Struthio camelus: one gene and its partners. The protein of the gene in region 3 purifies or fractionates together with the protein of the main gene of each other region. This does not show direct contact. Links are inferred from orthologs where the notes say so. Each region holds a gene or a part of one and is shown on either strand. Other genes may lie near its edges. The genes, in order: OSBPL8, GRAMD1B, CSNK2A2 and PRRC2C.

The links.
Region 1: the proteins of CSNK2A2 (region 3) and OSBPL8 purify together in Homo sapiens (affinity purification with mass spectrometry; 4 studies listed by BioGRID and IntAct, with this or other methods). This does not show direct contact. The link is inferred for Struthio camelus from reciprocal best matches to the Homo sapiens genes CSNK2A2 and OSBPL8.
Region 2: the proteins of CSNK2A2 (region 3) and GRAMD1B purify together in Homo sapiens (affinity purification with mass spectrometry; 3 studies listed by BioGRID and IntAct, with this or other methods). This does not show direct contact. The link is inferred for Struthio camelus from reciprocal best matches to the Homo sapiens genes CSNK2A2 and GRAMD1B.
Region 4: the proteins of CSNK2A2 (region 3) and PRRC2C purify together in Homo sapiens (affinity purification with mass spectrometry; 3 studies listed by BioGRID and IntAct, with this or other methods). This does not show direct contact. The link is inferred for Struthio camelus from reciprocal best matches to the Homo sapiens genes CSNK2A2 and PRRC2C.

The regions. Positions count from the first base shown.
Region 1 is NC_090942.1:43,635,101-43,642,673, forward strand, and holds the start of OSBPL8 (oxysterol-binding protein-related protein 8), read right to left. Parts: upstream 3,007-7,573; 5' UTR 3,000-3,006; coding exon 2,814-2,999; intron 1-2,813. UniProt on the Homo sapiens protein: Lipid transporter involved in lipid countertransport between the endoplasmic reticulum and the plasma membrane: specifically exchanges phosphatidylserine with phosphatidylinositol 4-phosphate (PI4P), delivering phosphatidylserine to the plasma membrane in exchange for PI4P, which is degraded by the SAC1/SACM1L phosphatase in the endoplasmic reticulum.
Region 2 is NC_090963.1:4,960,674-4,967,804, reverse strand, and holds the start of GRAMD1B (protein Aster-B), read right to left. Parts: upstream 3,022-7,131; 5' UTR 2,985-3,021; coding exon 2,623-2,984; intron 1,823-2,622; exon of another isoform or gene 1,805-1,822; intron 1-1,804. UniProt on the Homo sapiens protein: Cholesterol transporter that mediates non-vesicular transport of cholesterol from the plasma membrane (PM) to the endoplasmic reticulum (ER).
Region 3 is NC_090951.1:30,370,730-30,377,642, forward strand, and holds the start of CSNK2A2 (casein kinase II subunit alpha'), read right to left. Parts: upstream 3,008-6,913; 5' UTR 2,929-3,007; coding exon 2,825-2,928; intron 2,515-2,824; coding exon 2,403-2,514; intron 1-2,402.
Region 4 is NC_090949.1:8,575,675-8,582,909, reverse strand, and holds the start of PRRC2C (protein PRRC2C), read right to left. Parts: upstream 3,009-7,235; 5' UTR 2,844-3,008; intron 1-2,843. Other genes in the region: dimethylaniline monooxygenase [N-oxide-forming] 2, read right to left, coding at 4,470-4,854, 6,731-6,803, 7,003-7,235. UniProt on the Homo sapiens protein: Required for efficient formation of stress granules.

The DNA of each region.
Region 1 (7,573 bases), on a different chromosome or scaffold from region 3:
AAGAAAACAAAAAAATTCTGCTTAGTCACATGGGGAAGTTTCAGCTACATGATGGCATGTATTTTCTAAATATAAGTCTATTTTGTTTGGAAACAGTAGCCAAAGAGTCTAACGTGAGATAACATTTTTGACAGGCAGCCTAAAAATGAAAGAAATCCATGGCATGGGGAGGGAGCGGGGAGAATAAATCCTAAGACTCTCCTTCAAGCTTCACAAAACAAAGTCAGGTGGGGGTGGGAGGGGTGGGTGGTGTAACAGTCATCATTGAAGAGATAAAAGCCAAATAACTGATTTGGCAGTTTACTGAACCTTGTCTGAAGTGATCTGCACAAAAATTTATTGTAAAGAGACAGAGATGGAATACCACTTCACAGAATATAAAATATGCATAGTTTCTTATACTAGGAAGTCGTACAAGCATTTCTTTGAGAACATATGAGCAGACAAAAGATAAACAGTACATTTATAAGCACTGTATCCCCTAAGAGCCTTCTTGACGATTTCACCAGAGCATTTATAGCCACTAAAAGGTTTATTGCAAGTAATTCGATATAGAGCAATCATCAGTAAACTTTATTTCCCAAAGTCTTTTCCCATTGATTTTAGCATTTTAATTCCCTTTAGCTCTGCAAAATGACAATATGAAGTAATGAAAGAATAGGAGCACATCAGTCTGACTTCTTTTCCTGATTCAATTCCCACTAAAGTAAACAGGAGTTAGAGTATGCCCTTGAAATACATCTACTGACCCAATAGCTAAGCAGAACTTATGACACAGAACTTTTCAAATCCTTCCCTCTGTTGCTCAGCCTGACGTCAGGTAGAAGCAACATCATCTTCTCAAGGAAGTCAAAACCTACTTTGCCATGTCAAAACAAAGACAAAAAAGGTGCCAGGAATCCTTTATGCAACAATGAATAAGAAACGCAAAAGTTCATCATTTTTTCCCGCAACGTCAGGAAATTCTACTTCATATTGTGAAGGCTAACAAGCTTATACATTTATGACACTTAATCCAGAGTTTCAAGTACCCTAGAAGTCCGTGTGTCCTTCAAGAGTTGTGGGCAGAAATATGACCTGGATAGACTTTTTCTGAAGTGTCAGTTTTTAATTTGACAGGAATGCGTGTTTAGAAGGAGCTCTTTCCCTGATCCATGATCGAAGTAGGAAAAAGAGAGAGAGATCAATTCACTTCTAGATCTAAGTTATATCAGTCTGAACAACTCCCTTTATTTACAGCAGCTTCACAACTCTACAATAACAGAAAAGTTACAGCAAAGGCAAGACTAGCGACTCCAACCACATATCTCTGTCATCTTAGAGAATTTCAGTATTTGAAACAAACAGTTAATGCTGTTAATTAGCATGTGGAAAGTATGGCTACATGGTAGTAAGTTCACAGAACAGATTATTTCAAAGGTTAGGAGTTTTGATAAAAGTCAGCGCATGGCTGAAACAATAAACATCCTAAGAAGCTTGTGGGGAATTCTAAAAAGTTCCTTTCTAAGATACTAAGCATCTGTCAACCGAAATCATATGATTTCCCCCCCATAAGACCAGTAGTTAAGGATATCAACACTAAACATCCACTAACTGAAGAACAGAGGTGATAAAGACAAGAGACATCTGCTACTGCTCATAACGTTTGCTATGGAAGAACAACTTTTGCTCAACTCCTGTCTTTCCAAAACTGTGAAAATTAGGTAGACATTAAATAAGCATCAGCAGGGACTCAACTGCATAATATTTAATGCATCAAGCACTGATTTCTACTATATTTCCCGCGATTAAATTGAAATAACTAACACTAAGAAAACTTCCAGATGAAAAATAAGCTTTAAAAGACTTCCTGTTCTCAGACCCAAAACGGACAAGCAGCAAAATCTCACATTAGAAACATCTTCAATCACACACATGGATTAATGGTTTTCCTGGTCCTTTGAGACACTGAGTTCTACACAGCATCTCTAACAAATATGATTTAGGAAGACTATATTTCAAGCAAACGTTTGCGGCTTATAGGAATTGACATCGAGTATGTTGAACAAAATGTGGCTAGGCAACTTTTGAGGGCGCTCTGTTTGGAAGCGAGCCATCTATAAGGCCTGCTCATAAAAGACACAGAAGAACGGCTGGCAGCAGTAAGGCACCAGTTACAATAACAAGGATTTAGGCTCTGTTCCCCAGGGCACTGCCCAACGAGATTATTTTCGCAGTGCGAGTGGAAGAAGATTACTCACAATCAAAGGAGCGAATTTTTAACTGCACTTGGTACTTAACAGCTTTCAAGTTGTGCTTTGTGGACCCTTGGGGGTTGAAGGGGCAAGGGCAGTAATTAACACAATGTCTGTCATGAAGTAGGCTTAAATGTCCTCAAGCACGATGAACGCCTTGACTACAAAGCGGGACCGGCCCGAACTAAAAGGAAGTTTTGAAACGCCGCTACGCCTTGGCAGCGCGATGACAGCGGGCACGCTAAATCACCGCTTTTGGCTTTCGGCACGCCACCGGTCCCGACTTCAAGCAGGCAAACCGAAGGCGGGCGGACCCGAAGCCCTACGCCAGACACCGAGCGGCTCCCAGCGCGCTCCAGAAGCGGGGCACGGCCGCCACAGCGGCGCCCCGCCGCGACGCGCCGCCCCGCCCCGCACCGCCAGCAGCGGTACGGATGACAGCAGCCCCGCCGCCCCGCGGGGCTCCGGGCTACTGAGAGCCGCCGCTGCCCTCCCGCCGCGCCGCGCCGCTGTCCCGGGCGAGACGCGGAGGCGCCCCCAGATGGGGATGAGGACGCAGCCCCGCAGCTGGGCTCTCACCTCGGTGCCGGCGGGGAGGCGCGGCGCCTGGCGGAGGCCGCTGCCGGCCGGGAGCGCTCCCCTCGCCGCCGCCGCCGCCGCCGCGCTCCGCCCGCGGCGCCCGACCTCGCTCGCTCGCTCGCTCGCTCGCTCGCTGGTTGGCGCACGCGCAGGCTCTCCCGCCCCGTCGCCGCTTGATTCTCTCATCGGCCGCAGCGCCGCCTCCAGGAGCCCGCCGGGCGCAGGCGCGCGCCGCCCCGTCACGTGCCTCGCCAGCATGTGCACCGCCCCCGCCGCTGGGGGGTCGCGAGCGCCTCGCGCGCCGCGGCTTCGCCTGCCCGCGGCGCGGACCGTCCCCCCGCCGCCGCCCCGCCCCCTGACCCTGCCCGTTAGCTCGCTCCCCCCCGCCGCCCCGCCCCCTCGCCCTGCCCGTTACCTCGCCCCCCGCCGCCCCGCCCCCTCGCCCTGTCCGTTACCTCGCCCCCCGCCGCCCCGCCCCCTCGCCCTGCCCGTTACCTCGCCCCCCCGCCGCCCCGCCCCCTCGCCCTGCCCGTTACCTCGCCCCCCGCCGCCCCGCCCCCTCGCCCTGCCCGTTACCTCGCCCCCCGCCGCCCCGCCCCCTCGCCCTGCCCGTTACCTCGCCCCCCCGCCGCCCCGCCCCCTCGCCCTGCCCGTTACCTCGCCCCCCCGCCGCCCCGCCCCCTCGCCCTGCCCGTTACCTCGCCCCTGGGCGCACGTAGCTTCCCGGGGTGGGTCTGTGGCCGAGCGGGCAGGGCTGGGCCACAGGCGGGGTGGGGTTGCTTTCCCTGTACCTCTCCCAGCTAGTGCGCAATTCTTTCATCGCGTTTGTCCTGAGAGAACAAAAGGGACTTCATAAAACCGCAGAGTGGCCTTGCTGAGGGTCGTGCGCTGTCCTTGGCTAAGCTGTGAGCCTTGAGTATTCGTATCTGTGCGACGGCTGGAGGTGCTGGCAGACCTACTTGCTGTAGTCAGTAAAATCCGAGTGAGGGGCCGGACAGTTATCAGTATTCTGCCTCCGACATAGCTTTTGTCAGTTCAGATACAGTGGTCTAGAAGCTGGAACTGGGAGCCTGAGCCCCTTTCTGTTTCCTGTTTTCTCCCAGCACAAAGAAAATCCTCTGAAGCAGTTTTGAGGGAGAGAAGTCCTGTATATCAGGCTGACTTTGGTGTCTCCATACCTTCCGCAGGACGAGGTCAGTTTTTCATCCACCTTCATCCATAGAGGCAGGACCTAGAGGAGGAGATAGGAGACTCTGAACCTGCCCCTTTTACGAACTGCAGGAGATCCTACCATCGTTCAGGGTGATGGCTTTAAGAACGCCTGGAAACGTAAGACAGAAATAATCTTAGGCCAACCACATGTTTTATGTTAAGACTGGGTGGGTCTTGGATGGTACCAATGTGGGACTAAAAGAAGAAAGCTACTGTCAGGGAAGCTGTGGGAAGCATAATTGTTTTAAAGCTGGGAAACACTGATGGACTGAGGTAGGAAAGAGGATGCAAAGATCGTTCCAAAACCACAACAACAACAAAAAGCACAATATAATCTGAAAGGCAGAACCAAGATGTTTAGTGGGATAATTGGAGGGAGGCCTAGCTGGGAGGGAGCTGCTGAAGTTCATGATGTTAGGGTTTGTTTGTTTGTTTGCTTGTTTTTATAAGCAGCTTTCATTCAAGGAGCACCACTCCTTCAAGTAGAAACTATAACTTATACTGAATGCTGGAAACAGTTCAGTGATAAATAGCATTAAAGCATTGTAATAATCATTAAGTGTGTTTTAAAATAATTTAGGCAGTGAAAAAACCTAGTAACAATGGAAGTAAAGTGTTCTCTGAATAAAAGCCATAATTCTACAAGTGGGATGATCTCCAATTATTATGCCAGGAAGAACACCATTTTGGATTTTTTTTTCAAAAAATCCAGAGCACGTTTTAAAATGTTACTGGTAGTATAAAATGACAATGAGCAGCTTCCGTATCATGTCATCATATTTAAAATAAAATGAATACGTACCTCAGGTTTTCGTCATCTGCCAGGTGACACAACTGAAAACAGTTGTAAAAGGCTGAGGAACTTCTGAAGAGGCTAAGCATCTTCTCTTTCTGCTTATTCTGAGGGGAACTACTGTCAGTGCATTCAGAAAATATGTGGCACCTTGAGCGTTGACCTGCTAAGTAATGACGCAAAAAAGCAGTCAAACGATTAATATATCCAAATCTCAAAAAAAACCTTCTAGCTCAATCTATATTTCATAGTATTATCTGCTCTACCTCAATTATGTAGCAGTGTCACTAGGAGTCCATTATCTTGGGCTAATATTCCACTCACAATCTTTTCATTCTGTTCCTTGAATAATACGATTTAATTAAAAGACTGAGTATAATTTCCTCAATACTTTTTAATGTTTCTATAGAAATATATATGTATATATTCCTGAGTACAGAAGATTCCTTTTTCTTCTCAACAGTTAGGTATAAAATGTTGCAGAGAACAATTTTGTTTTCATTATTTGAAAGAAAGGATTCAAAATCTCTTTTTATAAAGCTTTCTATAATTAAGCAATAGTTGTCCCCAAAGGAGAGCCCTGGAATGAGATAATTCACTCTGACAAGAGTTAGACACTAGGGCTTTTTCACTGTAGAGCTGTAATTCTTAAGGTCATTTGTGGTCTATCGAATGGATTGAGTCTAGCCTTGGGAAGCAGCAGTTCTGTTCGTGTATTCAGTTCATGTCTTGCCTTATGACAGGTAGCAGTTCTTTTAAAGCTCTTTTCAAATACACTATATTTTGCACTTTAATATTTTGAGAGCTCAAAAAAAAAAAAAGTGGAAGTTCTTAAAGCTGTGCTAAACGCTCATGGATAGGTCACAATTTTAGATGTACAAGGAATATGATGCCAGGCAGTTGCTGGCAGCAGGAATTGGATCACTTAGTGGCATTCTATGAAGCTATACTGTGCTTGATCCCTTTTCCATGCTATGCTTTTTTCATTTTCCTGCAGGGCACTAGTAAACTTCTATTCCTTATGCCTTAGAGTGCTTTCTTAGCACTACAGAGTTCTTGTATTTGGATTTGTGATAGAAGGGGAAGGCTCATAACGCGCACCAAGACAGCAGTAACAATTTATGGAGAGTCATAGGCCTCTGTTAACGTGGCTTATAATGAGTCAAATAAAAGCTAGTATACATTTGCATAGGTGGTGCAAACCTGGAATATGTAACAGAGAAATTTTGTAAATGATTCCTCTTATAGCAGGGGGAAAAATGATTTGAGGAGCCAGAGTGCTACTGAATAGTAGACATATGAGTATGTAGTAGGTATGAATGGGTATCGGTATGTAGATATGTACATGTATAGGTATGTATATATGAATATATAGGTATGAGTTTATACCTCACCCATTAGGATTGTCAGGCAGAAGAAACATGTAACAGGCACCACAGGTACATTCACTAGGGAAAGTGTTTGCTTGTGTTGTATGTGTCTTTTTAACAGATCTGTAGGAAACATGCTTGTGACTGTATAAAACCAAGAGAGGTCCTCAGCAAGGAAAAAAAGAGCTCCTTTTGCTCCTTTTCCTGTAGGAAAGCCTCAGTTACCAATGTCTCTTAACGTATATGCGGCAGTAGAGGTGGAAACGGCTCTATAAAAGGGTAGGAGGTCAGTTCTATCTTTGAAGCATGTCTTTCTGTAGGGCATATGCTTTTCTTTAAAATAGCAGAGATACACGCAATTTAAAGGTGGACATGACCTTTGAGGTCATCTAGTCTGTGCAGGATAAAATTTGTAATAATATATTGAAATAAGTAAACACCTTCACCTCAGTTACCTACAGCTGCTTCTTCCTGGATCAGCTCTTGGAAAAGGAGCAGCGAAAGAGTGAGCAAGATTGTTGCTGAAGTGGGAGTGCTAGGCATGAACATCCTGCAACAGGAGTGTGGGAGCTCGTGACAGGCCAGCATCTCACAGTTGATCCCTAAATTCATGTATTCTCTGCTGTGTGTTCAGAAAACATGATAAGGTAGTTTAGAGTTTAAGTTGAACAACAAAAGGGCACAGCTTTTTGTTTTGTGGTTGCACATAGCTTTGTGGGCTGATGAGGTATGATTAGGGCCCATAGATGGTATAGGAATGCAAACAAGCAATGATAAGAAAATTTGCATTATTCTGAGATAATATACTTGCAGAGTCACTAGAGGATTATTCACTGTAATCTTGGTAAGTGTTATCTGATTATCTAGTGGTAACACATACCACATGGCGCTCCACTGGTAAGGTGTAACAGAGCAAAAGGCTAAAAGGAACAGCAGATTCTACAGTAAAGTGAGAGTTCTGCAGTCCTGGTGAGGGAGCCTTCTGCCCTTTTTCCTTTTTCTCTGGAGCATATAGCATAACTTTTTGCAACATCTGTAGGCACAGACAGCTAATTAGTCTCTGAAAATTGGAAAAAAATCAGAAATGTACTAGAAATCTTGACTGAAAACATTAATATGAAATATATCAACAACTTCCTATCTTCTGTAGAGCTGTTCCGTACTTACTCTTCCGAGAAGTTGCAGCTTCACACATCTCAAAGAAAATTGCAGCTTTTGTTCTCACCTTGAGAAGATTTTATTTAAAAAAGTTGAAATGCAGTTCTTGGTTATAATTACAAAAGCAGCTGGGATTGGGCAGGAAGAGAATAGCAAATTTTTTTTTAGCGAAATGTTTATCTAATGTGCTTTTTTAGACTTTTCTTATTGCGGGGCGGGGGGGAAAA
Region 2 (7,131 bases), on a different chromosome or scaffold from region 3:
CTCAGTGCCTTAGGCAAGCAAGAGTCTTAACCTGCCACCTCTCTTGCCCGCTCTCTTACGCTCAGGCTACCAGTCAACAGCTTTTAGACAGTCAGTAAGTAAACGACCAATAAGATGATCCAGGCTGTTAAAAACTAACCTACTACATAGAACATATCGTAGGCTGAAGTCTCTACATAGAAAAAGCCAGCCAGTCTTCATCAGACCTGGAGCATTACAGCCAGCCTTTTGAATCCAAGAAGTATTTATTTATCCACTCGGATGCGCTTACTGCACGCTAATGGTTGCGGAGCAATCATTCTTGTTCAGAGGCGTGAGAGCGACACACGCATTGCTGGAATCGATCAGCTGATGCACAGTACGCTCCCAACTACGAGCTTCGCTGAGAAACCCCTGCCACACAAACATGCAGCTATGTGGCCACGCAATGGGGTGCTAGCTAGTGCTCTTGAAGACCAAGTCTGAAGTAGAGGTAGGTAGATGGACAATATGAATCTGCTTTGCAGAAAGGCAGCTTCCTGCCCCTGCTCTTTTAAGAAGTGTTTCACATACGATGGCCTTGCGATGCAATGAGGTCTACCCTATGGCACTAACTGCTACATCTCTTTCACATTAACGCCACAAAATCCTTCGGGGTTCATCTCTCCTGCTGTGACAAACTCCCCACAAAGATCGTGTCCTCTGTGTGGCTTTTTCTTCTACTCTTGCTGAGTTATGGAAGCCCAGTGACGATCTTGGCGTTCTCCAAGCCCAGAGGCTCTGCACAAAAGGGCAGACAAAAAACACTTTTCTCCTCTGCACTGGAAAGGGAAAAATTCCATTTGAAAACCTGATACCTTTCCCATTACAAAAGGCATAGATTTGGAGCCTGCCACATATGAAGAAAGGAGATGCCATGCTGACTTTGGTATGCTAATACCACCTAATCCATCAACTGCTTTAGCTTTTTCCAATCACCACTTTGAAAACATAACCAAGGTTAAGGCAGAAAAGCGTTCAGAACGATGAATAAGCAGAAAGCTGTCAGCAAAGCCACGGAAGTATCGTGTGTACACGTACACCAAAGATTTCTTATACATTTGCACAGAAAGTAGTCCGACTTGGCCTCCGTCTCACATACTCAACAATAAGCCCAAATTAAAATCTTCGGTTAAAACGTCGTTCTCTGTTGAATTTCAGACCTGAATTTTACCGTTCTCCCACTAACATATGCATATGCCTCATACATTATCCTTATGTTTTCTGTGCTATAGCCTAAATCACCTAAATCCCTACAGCTAGATGGAAATCAGTACTACTCCTCAGTCAAGAGATGTTTTTCAACAATGAAAGCTTTCCAAAAGAGTGATTACATCTAGTGCTTGATGCATGCACTTCTTGAAGAAACTTCCTTGAAACTTAATAAAATGACAGCTTGACCTTGCAAAAGGGAACTCATAAGGGAAGACAACCTACCACATGACTAGAGTCAGTACTTGCAGAAGTAAAAGCTCTCTCCTCCCATCACTCAAAGGGACACAACAGTCAGTGAGACAACCTGGTAAACCAGGTGCAGATACAGCAAGAGATATCACGTTTGTCCTTTTTTGATCCAAGTGTAGATACATTCAGGCTTAAACCCATGCATCAGGTTGCATGGGCATTGCAAAGCAACGACAGAAAAAAGGTAGCCCACACTAAGCTAGGATATGGATTCATAACACACTAATTTCCCACAGACAAACCCTTGAAATGCCTTGCGTATTTTTGGGCCTTTGGGCAAGGCAGACTGTCCCATTTTCCCATTAAAAGGGGAGTAAGTTACCTTGTGCAGATGCAGTCACTGTCTACAAAGTGCAGAGTTAGATAAGGTATAGCTTTTTCTTTGTATTTCCACGCAATAACTCACTGGGCATCAACTTTGCTGCACTGACAAGCTCTTGGAGGTCTTTGTCAACTATCTGTCCTCATCTTGTGGAGCCAAAGAACTGAGAGACTTTTTCAAGTCCAGAAGGCAGCCAAGAATCGAACCCAGGCATCCTGACATGCAGACCCGTGTACCAGTCACAAGGCTAGTTTGTCTTTCACTCTTCTCATCACGTTCTCTTAATGTCAGCAAGTCAACGAGGGTCTTCAGACAAGGTCTCATTGAATACATATTAACACCATAAAAACAAGAGACATTGACAAAGGTTTAGCATCATCAATCCCTGTCCTGGCAATCCCAGCAGAGAGGTCACCTTCTCTCTCTCAAGGGTCTCTGCAGATTTCAGGACCTTGATGAAGTTAGTCTTATGATCACCCGCCCATTAAGGACACAGCAGTATTTGGTCTCCCTCACTCCAAAACAAGCTCTTGTCATTGGCCCTGAGTAAGTTTTAAAAGCTATGCAGAGGACCATACACAAGGACAGATCCCACCAGTGCCATTTCCAAAATGCCTACTGCTTGCGCATACGCATTAGGCCACTTGGTCTGGCATCAGCAAGAGTCCAATCAACTATTTTACCCATTCCAGCCACCAGGTGAGGACAAGGCCCCAGGGAGAAGCAGGACACAAGCTCTAGGTGAACAGCAGGCCCTACCCCTGTTCTAGGGCAGGCTCTTCCTGGAAGTAGGGAAGGGAGAGTAGCCAAAAACATACCTGCTCTCACTGTACTCCTCCTTCTCTCTCACACGCAGCCACTTCCGGAGCAGGAAGCGCTTGCGTCGCGGGGAGGCGCTGGGTGTGGAGCAGTTGGACCAGGGGGTGTCCTCATCACTGGAGGGGGTGATTTCAATGGACGGGAGCTGCAGGAATTCCTTGCTGGAGGAAGGAGAATCCTGATACCTGCTGGCCTCCAGGCTCTGCTCCTGAACATTCTTCATCCGCCTCATCTTGAAGCGCTTCCTGCGCAGGGTGGGGGTAGACGAACTGGACCAGGCACGGCCACCCTCCACCACCTGCTGCTCTGGGACATGCAGTGCTGGGAGCCGCAGGGCTTCTGTCATATTGGCAGCTGGCATCAGATACCCTTTCTCTTTCTGCTCCCACCCCCACACACACTAGCTCTCTGATCTCAGCATAAACCACACCACAAAACCACAACTCTTTCTCCTCCCTCACCCAGTTCAGTACTCGCCCTCCCCCTCAAGCAGGAAATCTCATGTTCCTCAGGTGCTTTCATTTAACAGGCCAGGGGAGGCGGGGGGGGGGGGGGGGGGGGGTCAGGACACTGACAGACCAGAAGGGGAGCCAGTTTCAAGTTTCTTTTGTCCTTCCCCTCTCCCTGCAAAACAAGTTCCCTCCCCCACCTGGTCCCTCTCTCCCTCTCTCTCTCAGATTAATATGTTCAGCATCAGGACAAGGGCTGCTGGTGACTTTCAGCTTTGTTTTCCTTTGCTTTCTGTCCTTTGCCTAATGCTGGCTCAGTGAAAAAGCTCTCCTGGGCTGTGCTGCAAAACTCAGCTGTGGGTCTTCTGCAAAGACGAAGCAAGCAGGGAGCGACGTGGAGCTGTGAGGAGGTCAGAGAGAAAGAGAAAGAAGGAGGGAAGCAACAGTACTAGATAAAAAACAGGAGAAAGAAGGAGGAGCAACGTGTTCTTTTTCTGTAACAGATAAGACATACACAGGCAGCTGCTCCAAGCGCAGCTGCACGCTTAATCCCAAGAGATAGGGTTTCTATTACAGAATATGCGGCTGCTGCATGTCAACCTAATGAAAAAGGGTAAGACGGGATAACAACTTTCTGTAGAAGCCAACTGGACAGGCTTTCCCCTTGCCCCACCTTCTTGCTCCCACAGCCTACCCCCCCTGCAGGGAGGAAGAGGGGAAGCAGAACTAGACTTCCAGCCTTCTTTCAAAGCTAAGGCCTCGTGTCTCCCTTGACCGCACACAGAGAGGGCACAGCAGAGAGATGGACAAATAGCTAAAAAGCAGTAGCAGCAGGTGGCACCAGAACTGAGACTGGCTGGTTTTTAGTTCAGGTTCACTTGAGGAAAAGCTGATAAAAGTTCTCAGAGTGCAAGGCTACTTCCAAAATGACACATGGTCTCAGGTTCAGGAATCAAAGACATCACATAAAGACATTAGACACAAAGGACAGATATTACACCAGGAGAAAAGCCACGTACTACATGGAAGATTCACAGGCACTGAATAAGCAGACAAGGCTCTCTACCAAGGGTCAAGCACTGGGAGGAATGGCAGTCTGAGGACCAGACCTGCAATATGCCAGTAATAAAACTGGATCAGGGAGAATGAACAGTGTTGAAGTGACTCTCCACCAAAGTTTTACAGAATGCTCCTAGAGCAAGCTGAGTTAAGCTACATTTTCAGGTGAAAAAGGGCACAGAAGTTAAATTCTGTAAGGGAGCAGCTAGAATTCAGCTGACTGAACTTCAAGGGTGCTGTCAGAAAAACCTTCTCTGAATCCACCGAACAATTTTGGTTTTCATTGTTCAGTCAGCTGACTCTTTGGAAACATTAATAAATATTCATAAATACTTTTTTCAGAAAATACTGTTGACCAAAATGAAAGTGTTTCATCTTGTTCAGTTTCCCTTAAAGTTTTGTTTCAAAACAGACTTGACAAGAAATTTGAACATCAAAAACTTTGGAATCTAGAGCATTTTAAAGAAAAAGATTTGTAACAGCAGCAACAAGGGGGAAGAGCCAGAAAAAAAAAATGTGTCAGTAATTTTCTTTTTATTTTATTTATATTCCCAATTGCTAGAGCCTACTTTGTCGTACTGTCCTTATCACTCATTGCTCCTCCTGTAAGTTCATAGCTTGACCAACACTTCAATTAATTTCCGGAGCTCCTGTCACCTTGGTATCTATCCATCAGGGACGCATGCAAACAGAATGCCTTCCACAAACATCCACTTAGCTCAAAAACAGATGGTCAAAAACACAGTTAATTAAAATCTGAGAAACAAAAATCTACAGAACAGACAACAGAATCCAAGATTTATTATCTGAAGACTTGCATAAGTAGCTGTGCATTCTCTGCTCCTCTGCAATATGGAGAAACCCGAATTTGCAGTTAAAGTATTTGAGTTATTCAGCCACCTGTTGCCATGATTTCTATCATGTCACCTCTCATTCAGAGGCCACCTGTACATAACATTGTCAGGCCACCTGTGAACTCAAAGAAAATTCAATTTCAACTTCCTCCTAGAATGCCTGGAAATCAAAACACCATAATACAATTCCTAAACCTTAACTAAGAGTAAGTAGACACAACTGAGGGAGAAGGGAGTAGCTCTGCTTAACTTTGGGGGGGGGGGGGAGGAGGGGGGGAAGAAGAGAACACCACCCACCCACCCATTCAGATGACAAAGAAAAAGTACTTTCCCCTGAACCACTTTTTCCACTAAAAGGAACTTGAATCTTCTTCTAATCTATTGCAACAAATAAAACTAGTAGCCTTTTGGAATCTATCATAAAAAGGTTTTCCTGCATGTATTAATGAGTCTGATTCCCTGTAGAACCTTATCAAATAGATGGTATTTACTTGTTTAATTGTACAAATAAGTGCAAATAAGCAGAGACAAAAAGGCTGCATTTTTTATGCTTTCATATTTTAGGAAGAGATCACACAGTGCACATTACAGACCCTCAAAATCTTCAAAGACATTATTCAATTAATCGGTAAGTCACTCACACTACCTTGCTCTAGACAATAGCAGCATTCAGAACTTGCTGCTTTTTCCTTTGGGAAGGAAAAAAAAGGCCCCTTTACCAGTTTTTACTGGCACGGCCAAGGCAACAAAAAGCAACTGCTTCATCATCAAAAGGACTCAAAACAGCTTCATTTAACACTGCTGGGATTCACTACAGGAAGACGGGATGCTCCCCCTGACATATGTCGACAAAAAATTCTGAAATAATTCTCTCAGCTTGTAGCTTGAGAATCCTTCCCATCAGGAACAGCATTTACATGCATAGAGGCTACCCCTTTAATTCCAAGTACTTCAGTAATTAGTAAGAAGCACTTATGCTCAAATATTATTAGGCCATTTTTATTTTGGACAAAGGATGCTGGCCACCTGCCTGATACTCTTAAAGAGAGGAGGAAAAAAAAAAGTTATGTAATAAGAGAGAGCGTGCAAACTCCTGACCCACAGAGTGAAAAACACCAACCATGGTGAAGCGCTATTTCTGTGCAAATCACAATGACTGATTTGACAGTGTCCATAATAGCCTCTGTGCCAGGAGATCCTTGTTTAAGGACTACTCCTGTTAAGACGGAATCACGATAGCAGCAAAGAGCTGTCAACACTACAGTCTGACCCAAAAGGTCTCTGGAACGCTTCACCTATGGCCACAGCAGAAGAACCAGGTGCACTTTGGCTAGTTTTAAAACTTGGTCTGTCTCCCATTCAAACATTTAGCCTTTCCAGGGTCCTTGAAGAGGACTTATGAGATAAATAAAGCAAAGAGAGTAAAAGGGGAAACAACTCTCAGGAAAGATTTTCATTTCTTTTCAGGATGAAGAGCATCTAATCATGCCAGTCCAGATTCTCCAGCAGTCCTTTCCGTAATAGTTTCCTCATGTGCTTACAAGACAGCAACATGTCATCCTTGGTAGATGAATACCGACTTAGAGATGGTATGGAAACACTCAAAGAAAAGAGTGTATGACTTCAAAGCATTATTTCAAATACATAAAATAACTGTAACTTATTCAGAAGAGCAACAAAAATCAGACACACGAAATCTGGCCATCCTGTGCTGTGGGACCGTCTTTCTGGCCAGGCAGGGAGACTGTTGCTAACACAGACTTCACAAAATTCACCAAGGCATATTCTCCCATTCAAACTCACTTTTCCCAACGTGTCAAAGAGAAGTTTAACTTGTTAAGTATTTTTCCCTTTCAGGTGCACAGCTAAAAATGGCAGTTTCTGCATGAGAAACTTGCCATGCCTACAACAAAGCAAGCCCTGCCAGAACAAAATTCTGGCTGGAAAGTTCCAAAGCTGGCAAAGTTTTTCTTTCTACTATGAAAATTCTGCAGTATTTTTGTGACACTAAATGAGAAACCAGTACTTATCTACAGTGACTTTCTCATTCCAACAGTTTTCTGCAAGAACGGTCATGTTATATTTGGAACTGTGGATCATTTCCTTCAAACGGAACGTCTGAAATCCAGCTCTGGCCTTTACATGT
Region 3 (6,913 bases):
CTGTGCTAAACAGCAGCATCTATCACCCAGCAATTTTTCCCTTTGTCCCACCTCCACAACCACACAAAAACCTGATGACTTCTGGTTGCACTTCCCACCCTCTTAGAATCTAACTTGAATTAAGAAAAACAGAGACTCGGCCTATTTGTTAAGGCTCCACTGTAGATACACGTAATTACGTTTGCAATTAAGTTTGAGTCTAGCTACAGGAAACCAGAGGCACTTTCCACAGATCAGAGAGTGATGTTATTGCCACATTTTGCAGGTTTTCATGATGTATACAACATGATGCTCTGAAACTTGCCTTTCACTGACCCACTTTCCACTGAGAAGAAAGTTCACCTTTATTTATCTGGACTTCTGCTTTTCCTTGCTCACTTGCAGGAATGCTGTTTGCATTTTAATGCAAGTGGGGGGAAGCCAGGGGAACGGGTAGCAACACCATCTACCTCAAATCTGGGACAATCCAGTCCCCTGTTGTAGGGTGTTACGGCAACACGTTCGGGCCCCAAGGAGAAGGGGCACCCAGCCTCCCGCAGACGACTTTTGCCAGCCGACTCACAGTTCAGTGCTGACAGGCACCCTAAAGACGACAGAGCTCAGCTGCCACAGCGAGAGGAGCATTGCTCCAGGGCAGGCCCTTTAGGCTGGGGACAGGCAAGGAAGAAGATTTCTCAAAGACTTTCTCTGCAGTCCTGAAGCCTAGTGGCACCTTTTTATGTGGGGCAAGATCTACAGTCTCAACCAACCATAGCACTCCTGGAGAGACCATCGGGGCTCTAGAGCAGCACACAGAAGCGCACAGTTTCCTCAGCCTAACCACAAGCCATCTTGCTGTAACATACAACCCTACACTGGCTACCTCTGACTACTCTCTCTCAAAAGAGAAACTCCTGCCTGCCCCTACCTAAAAAACAAACAAACAAAGAAAACCCACACCACCTTATGTAAAACATCTAAAGGAGGGGGAAGCCTGAGCAGTATGCCAGAAGAACTCAGCAAGGACACAGAAGCCTCACTGCTCTGCCTTTATGCCAGGACTCGGCCACAGGGGCTCTCCCTAATGGCTCACCTAGCCACAGTCAAGGCAGGGATACAGTTTACTCCTCTGACAGGAAGTCATGCCTTGCCTAGGAGCTGTGACCCAGCAGCCTATGACAAGTTCTCTGGGAAACCAAGAAGGATCCCAAGAAAGCAGGAATAGTGGATGAGTGGGGAGAGGAGCAAAGACAAAACTAGCCAGCTAGCCACACTATCAGATCAGATCTAGCGAACTCCTCCTAGCCTCAAGGCTATGACCTGGAGCAGAGACACGTATCCTACGTAGTTACTAGCCTTAGCGGCTGCAAGGACAACTTTCCAAGCTCTGAACCCTCCCTGCACACTGCAGATCAACATGAGCCCAAATTCTTAGTATGCCTGTGATCAGAAACTAGCTCCCACATGCTCTTCAGGAACAAGTAAGAAGCGTTGCTGATTCTACAAACAACAGCCACAAGCATCAGCCAAACCAAAGCCAAAAGCACCTTTTGTTTCTGTTTTTCGATTCTCCCCCCCACCATCCTCACCCCCAGACCACCATCACAGACTTCTGCAAACACAGCTACCACGCCTCTCTGTAAGCACACTGCTTCAGCATCAAACGCAGTAAGGTGTGCCCTACAGAGGCTAATCCAGTGCATTTAGTCGTTCCAAACTGCAACCGGTTACTTTTGCAAGAAGATCCCCACACCCCAACCTCTATACAATCAACACACCAGGGCATATCACTAATGCTGCTAACTGTCAAATGGTCTGCTTCAGCCTCCTCAAGTTTCCACAGTATTTTTGACCTGACCACAGTGAAGTTCTCTTCCATGGAGCAGATCCTTCAAAGGGCCAAATCTAAGATTTTGTTTGCTTTACTAAAGCCTGACCGCTGAGCATCCTGCGGCCTGAACCCTGAAAACGCCGCACGCCAGCTGTCTAAAGGTTAACAAAAAGATTCCCCCCTGGGCTTCATATTCCTGTTGACATGGCAGTCCTTGCAATGTTTTAGACAGACATTGCCAGATATGATTTACCAAATGCAGGCAGCACATGCAACACTGTTCAAGTGTCAGGACTCACAGCACTCCTCCTCCCGAGGAGCTCTCGGCCTGGAGCAGGCTCCAGCTACTCTGCACAGAAGGGGTGGAGACATTGAAACATCACTACAGCACACAGGACACTAAATCCCTTTCCCAAAATACAGTCCAGCACTCAAGTGTCCACAAAGCAAAGAACAAGAGTTTTGGGGTGCAGGACAAGACCTAACAGTCTTTTGGCCCTAGCACAGCTTCTTTCCTCCTTATTCCCAGCTCAAAAATGAAACGAGGGCCACTGCCACCATGAGCCCCTGCAACCACCCGCGAGGCGCTCACCTTGAGGATCTTCACAACTACCCTCTCGTTGTTGGTGATGTTGATGGCCTCGAAGACCTCACTGTACTTTCCCCGGCCAAGCTTGCGAACCAGCTGGTAGTCATCCTGATTGCTGCAGGCACCAAAAAAAAATAAAAGAGAGCAGAGGGAGAGGAAAATAACTGACAGGGCACCAGGCTGGGATGGGGGGAAGGGGGGATCCCCCTCCCCCAGGCCATTCCCGCAGCCGCCCGCTTCCCCGCGGGGGAGGACCCATGGGGACGCCGAAAAGTGGCGGGGGAGGGGGGGGAGCTGGCTGGGCGCCTCCCCTCGGGCAGGGGCCTGCAGGGCGGAGGGGCGGCCGGCCGCCCCCAGCCGCCGGCGGGCCGGGCGAGGGGGCCGGCGGCGGCCCGGGGAAGGGGGGTCCCCGCGGGGCGCTTTACCCCCAGCTCGGGACGTGCGCCTCGTAGTCCCAGTACTCGCGGCTCCTCAGGCTGTTCACCTCGGCGTACACCCGCGCCCGGCTGCCGGCGGCCGGGCCGGGCATGGCGGCGCCGGGCGGCGGCGGCTGCAGGAGGAGGAGGAGGGCGCGGGGCCGGCGCGGGAGGCCGGCGAGGCGGGGCGCGGCGCGCAGGAGGGCGGCGGCGGGGGGCGGCAGGGCCAGGCCGGGAGGGCGGGGGCCGGCCCCGGGGGCGGGCAGGCGGGCGGGCGCGGGGCCCGCGCGGAGCTGTGGCGAGGCCCGAGGCCGCTGCCGGTGCCCGGCGGCGGCGGCGCTGCAGCCTGGGCCGGCCCCGAGCGCGGCGCAGCCAACCCGGAAAAGGCGCCGATGCAGCCGCGCCGCCGCCGCGCCGCCCGCCGCGAGAGGCGGCCGCCCGCCCCGCCGCCGCGCCGCCCGCCGCGCAGCGCCCCCGGCGGCGCGGAGGACGCGCCGCGCCCTGGCCGCCGCCCGGCGCCAACGGCCGCCCCGCGCCGCGCCGCCCCCCCGCACCGCCCCCGCCGCGGACCGCCGAGCCCCCGGTCACACCCGCCCATCGCAGGCCCCGGGGCTGCCCCCGGCCCCCCCCCGCAGCCCCGTCCCCTGCCTCGCCCCGACCCCCGCACCCCCCCGCACCGCCCGGCCCCCCCCCCGCAGCCCCGTCCCCTGCCTCGCCCCGACCCCCCGCACCCCCCCGCACCGCCCGGCCCCCCCCCCCGCATCCCCCGTCCCCTGCCTCGCCCCGACCCCCGCACCCCCCGCACCGCCCGGCCCCCCCCCCGCAGCCCCGTCCCCTGCCTCGCCCCGACCCCCCTCACCCCCCCGCACCGCCCGGCCCCCCCCCCCGCATCCCCCGTCCCCTGCCTCGCCCCGACCCCCCGCACCCCCCGCACCGCCCGGCCCCCCCCCGCAGCCCCGTCCCCTGCCTCGACCCGACCCCCGCACCCCCCCGCACCCCCCGGCCCCCCCCCGCATCCCCGTCCCCTGCCTCGCCCCGACCCCCGCACCCCCCGGCCCCCCCCAGCCCCCCCCCCGCAGCCCCGTCCCCTGCCTCGCCCCGACCCCCCGCACCCCCCGCACCCCCGGCCCCCCCCTCGCATCCCCCGTCCCCTGCCTCGCCCCGACCCCCCGCAACTTCCGCACCCCCCGGCCCCCCCCCGCATCCCCGTCCCCTGCCTCGCCCCGACCCCCCGCACCCCCCGCACCCCCCGGCCCCCCCCTCGCATCCCCCGTCCCCTGCCTCGCCCCGACCCCCCGCACCCCCCGCACCCCCGGCCCCCCCCTCGCATCCCCCGTCCCCTGCCTCGCCCCGACCCCCCGCAACTTCCGCACCCCCCGGCCCCCCCTCGCATCCCCCGTCCCCTGCCTCGCCCCGACCCCCCGCAACTTCCGCACCCCCCGGCCCCCCCCTCGCATCCCCCGTCCCCTGCCTCGCCCCGACCCCCCGCACCCCCCGGCACCGCCCGGCCCCCCCCTCACATCCCCCGTCCCCTGCCTCGCTCCAACCCCCCGCACCCCCCGGCACCCCCCGGCACCCCCCTCGCATCCCCGTCCCCTGCCTCGCCCGACCCCCTGCACCCCCCGGCACCCCCCTCAGCCCGTCTCCCCCCCCACCCTCTCACAGCACCTGGTGTGAGAGGTTGCATCACAACCCCCCTCACCCATGGTCATCACGTTATCACCTGTCACAGCCCCTGTCACCCCATCACCCCCATCTCAGCTCCTGCCTCCCACCCCTAGGGTACCCCCGTCACCACCCATCAGGCCCTGTCACGCCCTGTCACACCCCAGCCACAGCCCCTCAAACACTGTCAACCCATCTTCTCCTTTCAGAGCCCCTTCAGCTCCTGCCACCCCCATCACTCCCTGCCACAGCCCTGGAGCAGTCCCAGGCAAACACTGTCACCCCCATGACCTGCTGTTACAGCACCTTTCACCCCCTCAACTCCTGTCACACCCCCATCACAGTCCCCCACCACAACTCCTGTTGCACCATCACCCTGTCACCCCATCACCGTCCCCTTTCAACCCCATCAACCCATTACACCTTGTCACAGGCCTGTCACCCTGTCACATGCCCCGTCACACACCCCATCACCCTGTCGCACATTCTTGTCACGCACCCATATCAGCCCCATCGCCCCATCACACACTCCATCACACCCTATCAGCCCCTGTCACCATCTCATACCCCACATCCCTCACCGCTACACACACCTACAGCCCCCCTAACCCCCAGGGAGCACCAGACAGTAGGACACTCTCAGCCTCCAGTGACCCCCAGACTCCTGAGCACCCCCAGTCCCCGAGCACCCCCAGCACCCACGGGCCCCCCAGTCTCTCAGGCACTCCAAGCTCCCATGGAACCCCCAGAACCCCCAGCACCCCCAGCCCCCATGGGACCCCCAGCCTCTGAGCACCCCCAGCCCCTGGGGCATTCCCAGCCCCCCCAGCTCTGGGGTCCCTCAACCCTTCCACCGCCAGCACTTTTCACAGGCCCTGCTGCCACTGCTACTTCATCTCCCCGAAATGCAGCAAGATCAACTGGCTGTACTTTGATGTGGGCATGAGGGGTATCCAGGCCTACCCCTCCCGAACCAGGGCATGTGGTTTTGGAGGGCCTCCACGAGTGACAGCAGTTTGGAGCAGGGCTGTAGCCCCAAAAGGAATGCACACTCTTTGCCACGTTCCGGGCCTTGCTTTGACCAGGGCTCATGTCCTTGGTCTTCTCCAGACTAAACTGACCGAAATAACCCTGTGTCACCTGCCAGTCTTGTGTTGGCACTGCTTAAGAGATTTTCTCAGTGATATTTGAAACACCCTCGTCCAGGAGCTTACGGATGGTGATTAACTTCTAGGCAAAAAGCAGGGATTGCTCCTTTCCATTCCTAACTCTCTCCACCGGTTTCTAATCCCTACTTTTCCTTGACCACCAAAGAGTTTCTCAGGATTGCCTCTTCCAAAGGCTCTTTGGAAATCCAGAACAAAAATCTCTCAACTGATTCTCCTATTATATTGGCCTGAGGAGAGAGTCTGGATAGATTAGAGGCTCCACTTTCCTCTCTGCACTGCGGGAGACATGTTGATTTGTCCACATCCTCTTCTAGGGCTTCATCAGCCTCTTTCTAATCATTGTTTCACTCCCTCCTCCAGCTGCTGAAGGGAGGTTAATTGGTCTGCAGGCCCCAACATCACCCTAAGGCTTTTTTTAGGAGGGGTGCTTTTTTAGCACTGACCGCATCACGGTTCCTCAGTTCGGTGTTTTATCCAAATGAGAGTGCAGGTTTTTCTTCACAGCTCAGCCACTCGGGCACAAAAGGAGTTGCCTTTGTAAGTGAGGGGTTTATTCCAGTGCTCTGCCACCTCAGGCTCTGACATAGCTTCATTTTCTCACATTTGAACCCCTGGATTAACTTGCCGAACTGGAGACGCAGGCTATGGCGTCATCATTATTAATACCAGGTTCATGTGCTGTTGGCTTGCCCAGCTGCCTGCAACAGCACTGTGTAGCTTTTTGGTACCTCAGCCCCACTCCCCTCACCCAAATCCCTTCCCTGGTCACAGTCTTTCATTTCCACAAAGCCAACAGGGGAGTTTGCTCAAGCACCCAGGTGCTCCAGACCACTCTTCCAACTGGAAACGTGGTAGGACCAGTAAGAGTCAAATCAGCCCAGCAGGAATGCTGGACACATCACATATGTGGACCCTTGGTCACAACTAGGCAAAAATGACCCAGGACCTGAATCTAAGCTGGAGCTGGTCCCTAACCTGCTGTTAGGGATGGTAAGAGGTGAAATTATGAGAAGAGCCATCCCCTCAAGCTGTCTCCTGAGCATGGGAATGTCAGTGCCCGGTTCCAGGTGCACGTTCATCTCCCTTGTGCTTGGTGAGTCACGGTGGGGGGCTGCTAATTCCAGCCTTTCTCCAAGGTCCTCACCTCTCCCATGCTTGCTGGATGCGTTCAGGTCTCAGTGCCAGCCTCCAGCTAACAAGGCGAGGAGAGCCGTGTGGATTGGTCAGCGTGGCCAGTCCTATCTCCACAGATTTAATGAGGCAG
Region 4 (7,235 bases), on a different chromosome or scaffold from region 3:
GGACTCCATCCTCTGCTCTTTATGCATTTTTTTTTTAAAAGACTTCTGTTAATTCCATTTTCATTTCACAAACACATATATTTTTTCCTCCCACCTCCTCACACAAATTTCATCTCTTCTTTTTGCACCTGCCTTCATCCATGGGACATTTCTATGGGGTTTTGTGAAACCAGAGCCTGAAAAAAAAAGGAAAAAAACCCCACAAGGGCAAGAAGCTGAGCGAAGAAAAAATTTGCTACAGGAGATGAACAACTGGTTCTACCAGTAAAACGCCACTGGCAGTCCCGTCATTACAAGTCCAACATCCATCCCCAACTAGTGGAAACGTGGTGCACTTTCAGGGCGGAGTTTTTTCCGCAAACCCTCCATTAATGTATACAGCCTTCAGAGATGTTCCCCTCTTCCCTTCAACAGGGGGACCGTGGAGGAATATTTCTTCTTCACCCACCTCTCCAACATACTATGCAAGGGTTTGCCCCTCTGCAAGAACTACCTTTTTCTTTCTATTTCTACATCTAAATCACCTATCTAGGCTATCGTTATACGGCATTTATGCTACATTTTCCATTCCCTCTCCACTTTCATGTCACTTCCATAGTTAATACAGGAAATATTTTGGAATACGGAACTTGTACTTTCAGTAACCCAGGACATCTGACCAAAGCAAACCCCATACAAAGCACCCATTTCTTTGACTTACGTTCCTTCATTTTATTGACCTACAGCACTCATTCATGCAGGACCAAGCCTGCAAGTAATCTCTCTTCTGAACTGTATCACCTTTTGCCTGTTCCTTGCGGTCTGTTTCACCTTCCCTAGCAGACTTCAAGATGTGAGGAAACGTGCCTAAGGAAGATGCATGACATAAACCTTTACCATTGAACAAGGACTTCAGCAACACAGAAGTTACAGATGTAAACTGAAATAACAATTTTTTTAAAAGGCTTCTCTACAAAAAGCCAAGGCTTCTAGTTATGGAGTCTAAGCAAAGTAAAGAAATTATACATAACTACAGTGATATTAGCAAGGCTCATAGAAATGACTGTGTATTGGTTTATACACATTCGGTAAGTAATAGCTTATAAAAGTGATACTTTCTTGATGTAGAAAACACAAATCTACTAAGGCAGTGTTCCAAGTGACAGACTCAAAGCCACACAAGTCATTACCCTAGTCTCCACACACCAGCAGAGGCCTATATCAATTCTTGCTTCAGCTCAAATGGCCATCTCAAGTGGTCACCTCACATAAGCTAAGTGGTCATACTCTTCACTCACTGAACTCGATCAGAACACATTGCTGAGGACAAACCATCTTTTTATTGAACATACACCAGCTTCAAAGAAATCTCAAACCTTCCCAATTCCTTAGTCGCAAGGAGACCACTGTACGACAGCTGCATTAAAACACCCCAAAATCAATCTTGAAGAAATATTCTCTCCACTATATGATCAAAGAAAATTGAGACCCCTTTAGCTCCTGGTAACCAGTATTAAAAGACAATCCTTTTGTTTCTCACTGATGCACAAATGAGATCACATCCCATTTCCTCCTCCCTTCAAAAGTAACTTCTTGTCTTGGCAGTGCTCTGAGGACCTGACATCTAGTAGGCCTGATGTCCCACCATACAAGAGAAAAAGCTACAAAGAAAAAAAAAAAGTTCCACCTGCCTGAAATAACGCTTACTTTTACTAGTGTACCACTCGACTCCAGTCATTAAAAAGCAACAAGGAAGAACAGTTTTCTACTCAATGAGGAGGAGCAGAAAAGCTTTCACAAAGGGACATGCTTTCAAAACATATGGCTGAGAGACAAAAGGAAAGAAACACAGAAAACATGAAGTGTTCCAGACAACTCCCCACACCATTTCCTCATGCATACTGCTCAGGCCCCCCCGGCCCACAGAAACAACCCGTGTGGGAAACTAGTTGGACCATCTTTGGCTCCAAGATTTTCAATCGCTGCATCCCCAGGCGATGGTTCCCATAATACCTACTGCAGACTGGCGGTGCGATTTTTAGCCATGTCATCTAACCTTGGTCACGCTATGGTTTAAACAGTATCTGTAAGAACACTCCTGGCTGTGCTTACTCCACTTCTCCAAACCTTGTCTCTGCAAGGAGAAATAACAACACCTCCGTGAAAGGAGCTTTACTCAGTCCTGCATCAAATAATCCAGGAACAGCCTTAACCATACATCTCAAGAACTGTGGATGAGTACTGCAGAGTTAGAAAACCAAGACGCAGCGTCCTGCTTGTGCATCCAGCATCCCTTAAGAAAAGCCTCCCTCCTCTTCCCCCCCTCCCCCCAAAAAAAGAGTTTTTGGAGCGAGAATCACAGCTGCAAACTACGCGCAAACGCACGCAGGGGACGGCACGTTTCTCGAGAAGCCTCCCTAGAGAGAAAGAAGAGACCCGAAGCCGCGCGAAGAGAAAGGCGAGGCGGGAGCGGGAAGAAAGCAGCGCCCCGACAGGCCCGCTCCGCGCGCCGCCCCCACCCCGGCAGCGCCCGCCCGCCGCCGCCGGGCGCGGCCGGCCCCAGGGCGCGGCGGCGGGCGGCGATGCGGCGCGGCCCAGCGGCGCGGGGCAGCCCGGCCCGCCCTCCCGCCACGGCGGGCCCAGCGCCCCCCTCCGCCGGGCCGCGAGGGCAGGGGGCCGCGGGCTCCCGGGCGCCTCCCGCCGCCGCCGGGCCCGGGGCTGCACCCGCCGCCAGGCCGGAGCCCGGCGGAAGCCGCCCCCGCCTGGGGCCATGCGGCGCAGGCCGCTCGCCCGCCGCTCCCGGCGCCGGTGCGTTGCGCCCAGCCGGCCGGCCTCAGCGGTTAGGCGGCGGCGCCGCCGCTCACCTGGCGCAGCGGCGCGGCGGGCCGGCGCTCCGGCCTCCCCCGCTCCCGGACTCGGCGAGGCCGCTGCCGCTGCCGCTGCCGCTCCCGGCGCCGCGACGCCGCGCCTCAGCCGCTTCCACACTGGGGCCAAGATGGCGGGCGGCCAAGCCGGCGCCAACGACGTCTGACCTCACCGCGCCGTGCGAGCGCGCGCGCGCCCGCCAGCGCCGCCCCGCCCCGCGCCGCTCACGTGGCCCCGCGGTGCCGCAGTCGGGGCGGCGCGGGCCGGCGGCGCGCGCGGCGCCCCCTGGCGGCGCCCGGCGGAGCGGCCCCGGCGCCGCTGCCTGCGGTGGGCGCTGGGCAGCGCCGTGCACCCCGCGCCAGCACGGGTGCCGCCAGCCCCGTCGGCAGAGCTGCTGTTAGCGCCTTGCACCCTGCCAACCCTGCTGGCGTGGGTGCTCTGACGCTGCGCCCGCCCTCGCTGCCTCCCTTCCCGGGTGGGACCAGGCCGGGCGCACGTCTGCGCGGCCGGCACGCAGTTACTTGAGTCGCGCTGGGAGAGCCGCGCCAGCGTGACGCCCGTGCGGACGCGGGGTCTGCACGCGATCGCGTTGCCGCCGACGGCGCCTTGTGCAAACCTCCAAACCCCCAGGAGAGCCGTTTGGCAGCGCAGGCAGGGATGGGTATGAAGGTTCGGGATGCATCGTGCCTCCTGCTGAGCGATGCTCCGGGAGCGCAGTGAACGCACCCCGAGCACACTCAGCGGTCGTCAGCTGGGCTTGCAACAATACCCCGAGTTTAAAAACCCTGTGTGCGCGTGGGGAGGATCTGCCTAGCTCCCTTTGCTCTTTGCCTTCAGATGTGCCTGCAGCCCTGAGGCTGCTCAGGCAATGGTGGGGACACAGGCCCGCCTGTATCCGTCTCTGTTTCCAAACGTGCCCTGTTGGATATCCTTTTTATTAAGATGGGGTTCTCACCTCAAGCATGACATAAGGTCCACTTGAAAAAACTCCACCCTTCTACCAATAATAAAGCTGTTTGTTAATGAAAACATCAGAGAAGTCCAAATCAGTGAGGTTTATTTCTAGCTCCTTCCTTCATGTCCCAGAAGACACGAGGCAAATAAAAAAAACATTGAGCGTTTCAAAAATCTCATTGATTCGTGGACCTTGCTGAAGATTTATGGAAAGGGCTTGAGCCAAGCAGAGGGCCAAGAAATACTGGCCCAGGCTTAGACCTGTTGCTGAGATCCTGCCTTGAGTTGAGGCACGAGGCCCCCGCACAGATGCGTTGGCCACGCAGACCAGCGCTTCAGGATCTCCCCAAAAGGCCTGTAGAGAGCCAACCCGATGCTTGTGCAAAGCAGCCAGATTTGGGGGCGAGAACAGAGCAGGGGGTTGCAGATGGCTTTCTCCTCGGCAAAGTTCACCTCCGGAGGTGGTGCAGCGAAATGCAAATTGCAAGTGCACCTGGTCTGCCTGGAAGCAGAAGGAGACGGTGGCCGCCGTTTCGGTGGCATGCCCAGGAGCCAGCCCTTATCCTGGCACCCTTGGGGACAGCGTGTGTGACAGTCCCAGACACCACTGAAGCCGCCTTGCAGCAGCACAGCTCTGCACTGTCCCCAGATCATGTTTTGCCGGGTTTCTTCTACAGATGGAAACCTGCCCTGGGGATCCACCATGGCCGGGCATATTTAGAAAAGAGGAAACCCGCCACGAGAACCGCAGGCAGGGCAAGGAGACACAGCCAGGGTAAGCTGGAGGAGCTGTCGGAGGAGTCATCTATGACGCGGGTTCGCAAGGGCTTCAGAGCCCGCTGCCACTGAGTCAGGATGGCGCTTCTGGCCCCGCTCCAGCGGCCCCGTCCCACCAGGCGGTACTGGTAGGGTGAGCAGGGGCCAAAAAACACTGCCAGGCCCAGCCGGGGGTCCGTCAGGAGCAGCCTCAGCACGCTAGGCTTTATGCCGGCACATGACGCAATTTCATCTGTGTAGCTGATAAAACTCATCCACATGTTCACCTCGGCAGGATTCCTTCATTGGGACATAAAACAGACAAGAAAAATCAAACGGCGTCCCAGCGCGTTTCCAGCACCCCGAATGCAGCCAGGCAGCTCCACGCTCCTTCCCACCTCGGTCCCCAGCTCCGTGGGGACCCAGGCAAACGCCTGGGGCTCGGACAAGGCATCGCGTTGCAGGGGACTAACGAAGTGACGAGCACCAGCCGAGCCCAGGGTCTGGGAGGAGCTCCCTTAGCCCATGCTCTGTAGTAAGATAAATAAGCCTAAAGGCACTGAAAGAGCGTTTGTGTGGTCGGTTACTAGCAGTTACCCTGGTGCAGGTGATAGGCTGAAACTTGTTTTGTCTCTATAACCCGACTGTGGCTGAGCCCTGAAAAATGCAGCCAGGGAGGGGGCTGAACTAAGGAATGGTTCTCGCACAACGCTGCCATCATTGTAATGCCACAAATATCGGTGTAATGTCCTTACTCAAGATTCACTGCCTTGAATTTGGCCCTTTTTGAGAGGTGAAGCAGTCTACGTTCACAGCTAAGACTGCCAAATGGACCGGCGAAAGCTAAGAGATGCAGAAAGCTTCCTATGCCAAGAGGCACTGGAAAAGCTCAGCCTCCCACTCCCATTTGTCTGCTTTGTCACCAGCTCATCTGCTATTAGTTCATTAGGAAATTGCGGAGAACTTCAGCTCGTTTCAACAACCAAGCCCGTGGGTAGGTGATGCCTGATCTCTTCCGCTACCCCTGTCCCAGTACTGACCCAGAGGCTAGAGCTAAGCCCCTTAAATAGTGAGGACACGGAACAAATCCAAGCCCTTTCTTCCCGGGGCCTTGTCTTCCCTGCAGAAGAGGTGTGTTTAATCCACTTCAGCAAATCTGAGACAGCTTTATCTCCGTTGCAACTCAGACTCCCGTATTTCCATGTAACAAAATGTGAGGACAGTGTGCATGTCTGGAGTAGATGGGGCTCCTGATGAAAATCCATGTGACTCTGTTTTGGCCCAGATTTTCACTGGTATCCTTGGTTGTATGATCCAGCTCTGCCTCATCGTGAGACCTAACCCAGACTGCATGCCGCCTGGCCCTGAGGTCTCACAACTCGCTCCAGATAGGACAGCCAAGAAAGCTCTTGGTGACTGCGAGACAGCACATCCAGTGCATCTGTCCCATAGCCTTGAGGACTTATGGTAAAATCCCAAGGCAAACAAGGCAGGGCCTTAGTTCCCATATGCGCATTGGATGCATTAGAGCCTTGTCTACTATTCATTTTGACCTGCCAAAAACCATCACCCAAACAACCCACAGCCTGCATTACCCGGCTCCAAGGGGGTGGTGCACGGAGCACTAGAGCTTCCGGTGCCTGGCTTTGGGAGGAAGAAACCACGAGATGGCACTAGTAGTCTGGAGGAAACCTAGTCTCCAGCCTGAGATGCTGGAAATAAGGGCATGACTTAGCAACCTGATGGAGGGGACTACCAGCCTGATCCATCAGGGGTCTTGCTGCAAGCTGCTCCGAAGGTCAATGGTGTCTGGGGCAAGCCTGGGAACAGCACGGTGGAAAGGGTGCCCTGGCCGTTGGAAGCTCTAGCCCGGGGTGCTCCTGCTGTACCTGGACCGGAGCCCGGGAAAGGCATGGGTCAGTGGGAACGCTTCAGCAGAAACGGAGCAGCTCTGCACTGCTCAACCAGGGGAGATATGTCCTTGGTGTCTTGGGTTGTCACCTATTGAAGGGGGTGACAGCATCTCCCCATCTCACTATGGGTGTTGTGGGAGTATCTGCATTCAGGAATAATTAGACGCCCTGGATAGGTCTGTGACATAACCACTATGGGGACCGCCTTCACCCGTGTTGTCCTGGCTGGTGCAGCATGCCCAGAGCATGGGAGCAGCACTCACCTTTTGACCAGCTGCTTCTCCTTCTTTGAAATATCTGCCATCATCCTGCTGACGGGAGGCAGCTTGTTGGAGCCTGAGAAGAAAAAAGAAACTGTGGTCCGTGGGGGCCAGAGGCTAACGCATTCTTAGTGCTGACAGCCCCAAAATGCACAGCTCCATCAAAAGATGGAAAGTGCTCTGCCCGACGCGGCCTGGGCCTTGCAGAGAGCCGGCCAGGCTGTGCTCGACCTCCCTTGCACCAGCTCCCCTTGTCCGGGCACGCCGGCTCCTACCGGCAAAGATTCCCGTCACCCAGCGAGCCTGCATTTCTGCTCCCACCATCACAGAGCCTGTCAGTTGTACTAAGCCGATGAAGGCCAGCGTGGGTTTTTCCAGCTGCGGAGGGAAGATGCATTTATAGAGGGAACAGCTATGTTTGAAGAGGCTGCGAACAGAGTCTTCCAGGAAGGGAAATGAGAATGCGTATCCCGTGGCGAAGAGCACCACGTCGATGTTTTCGGTTGTC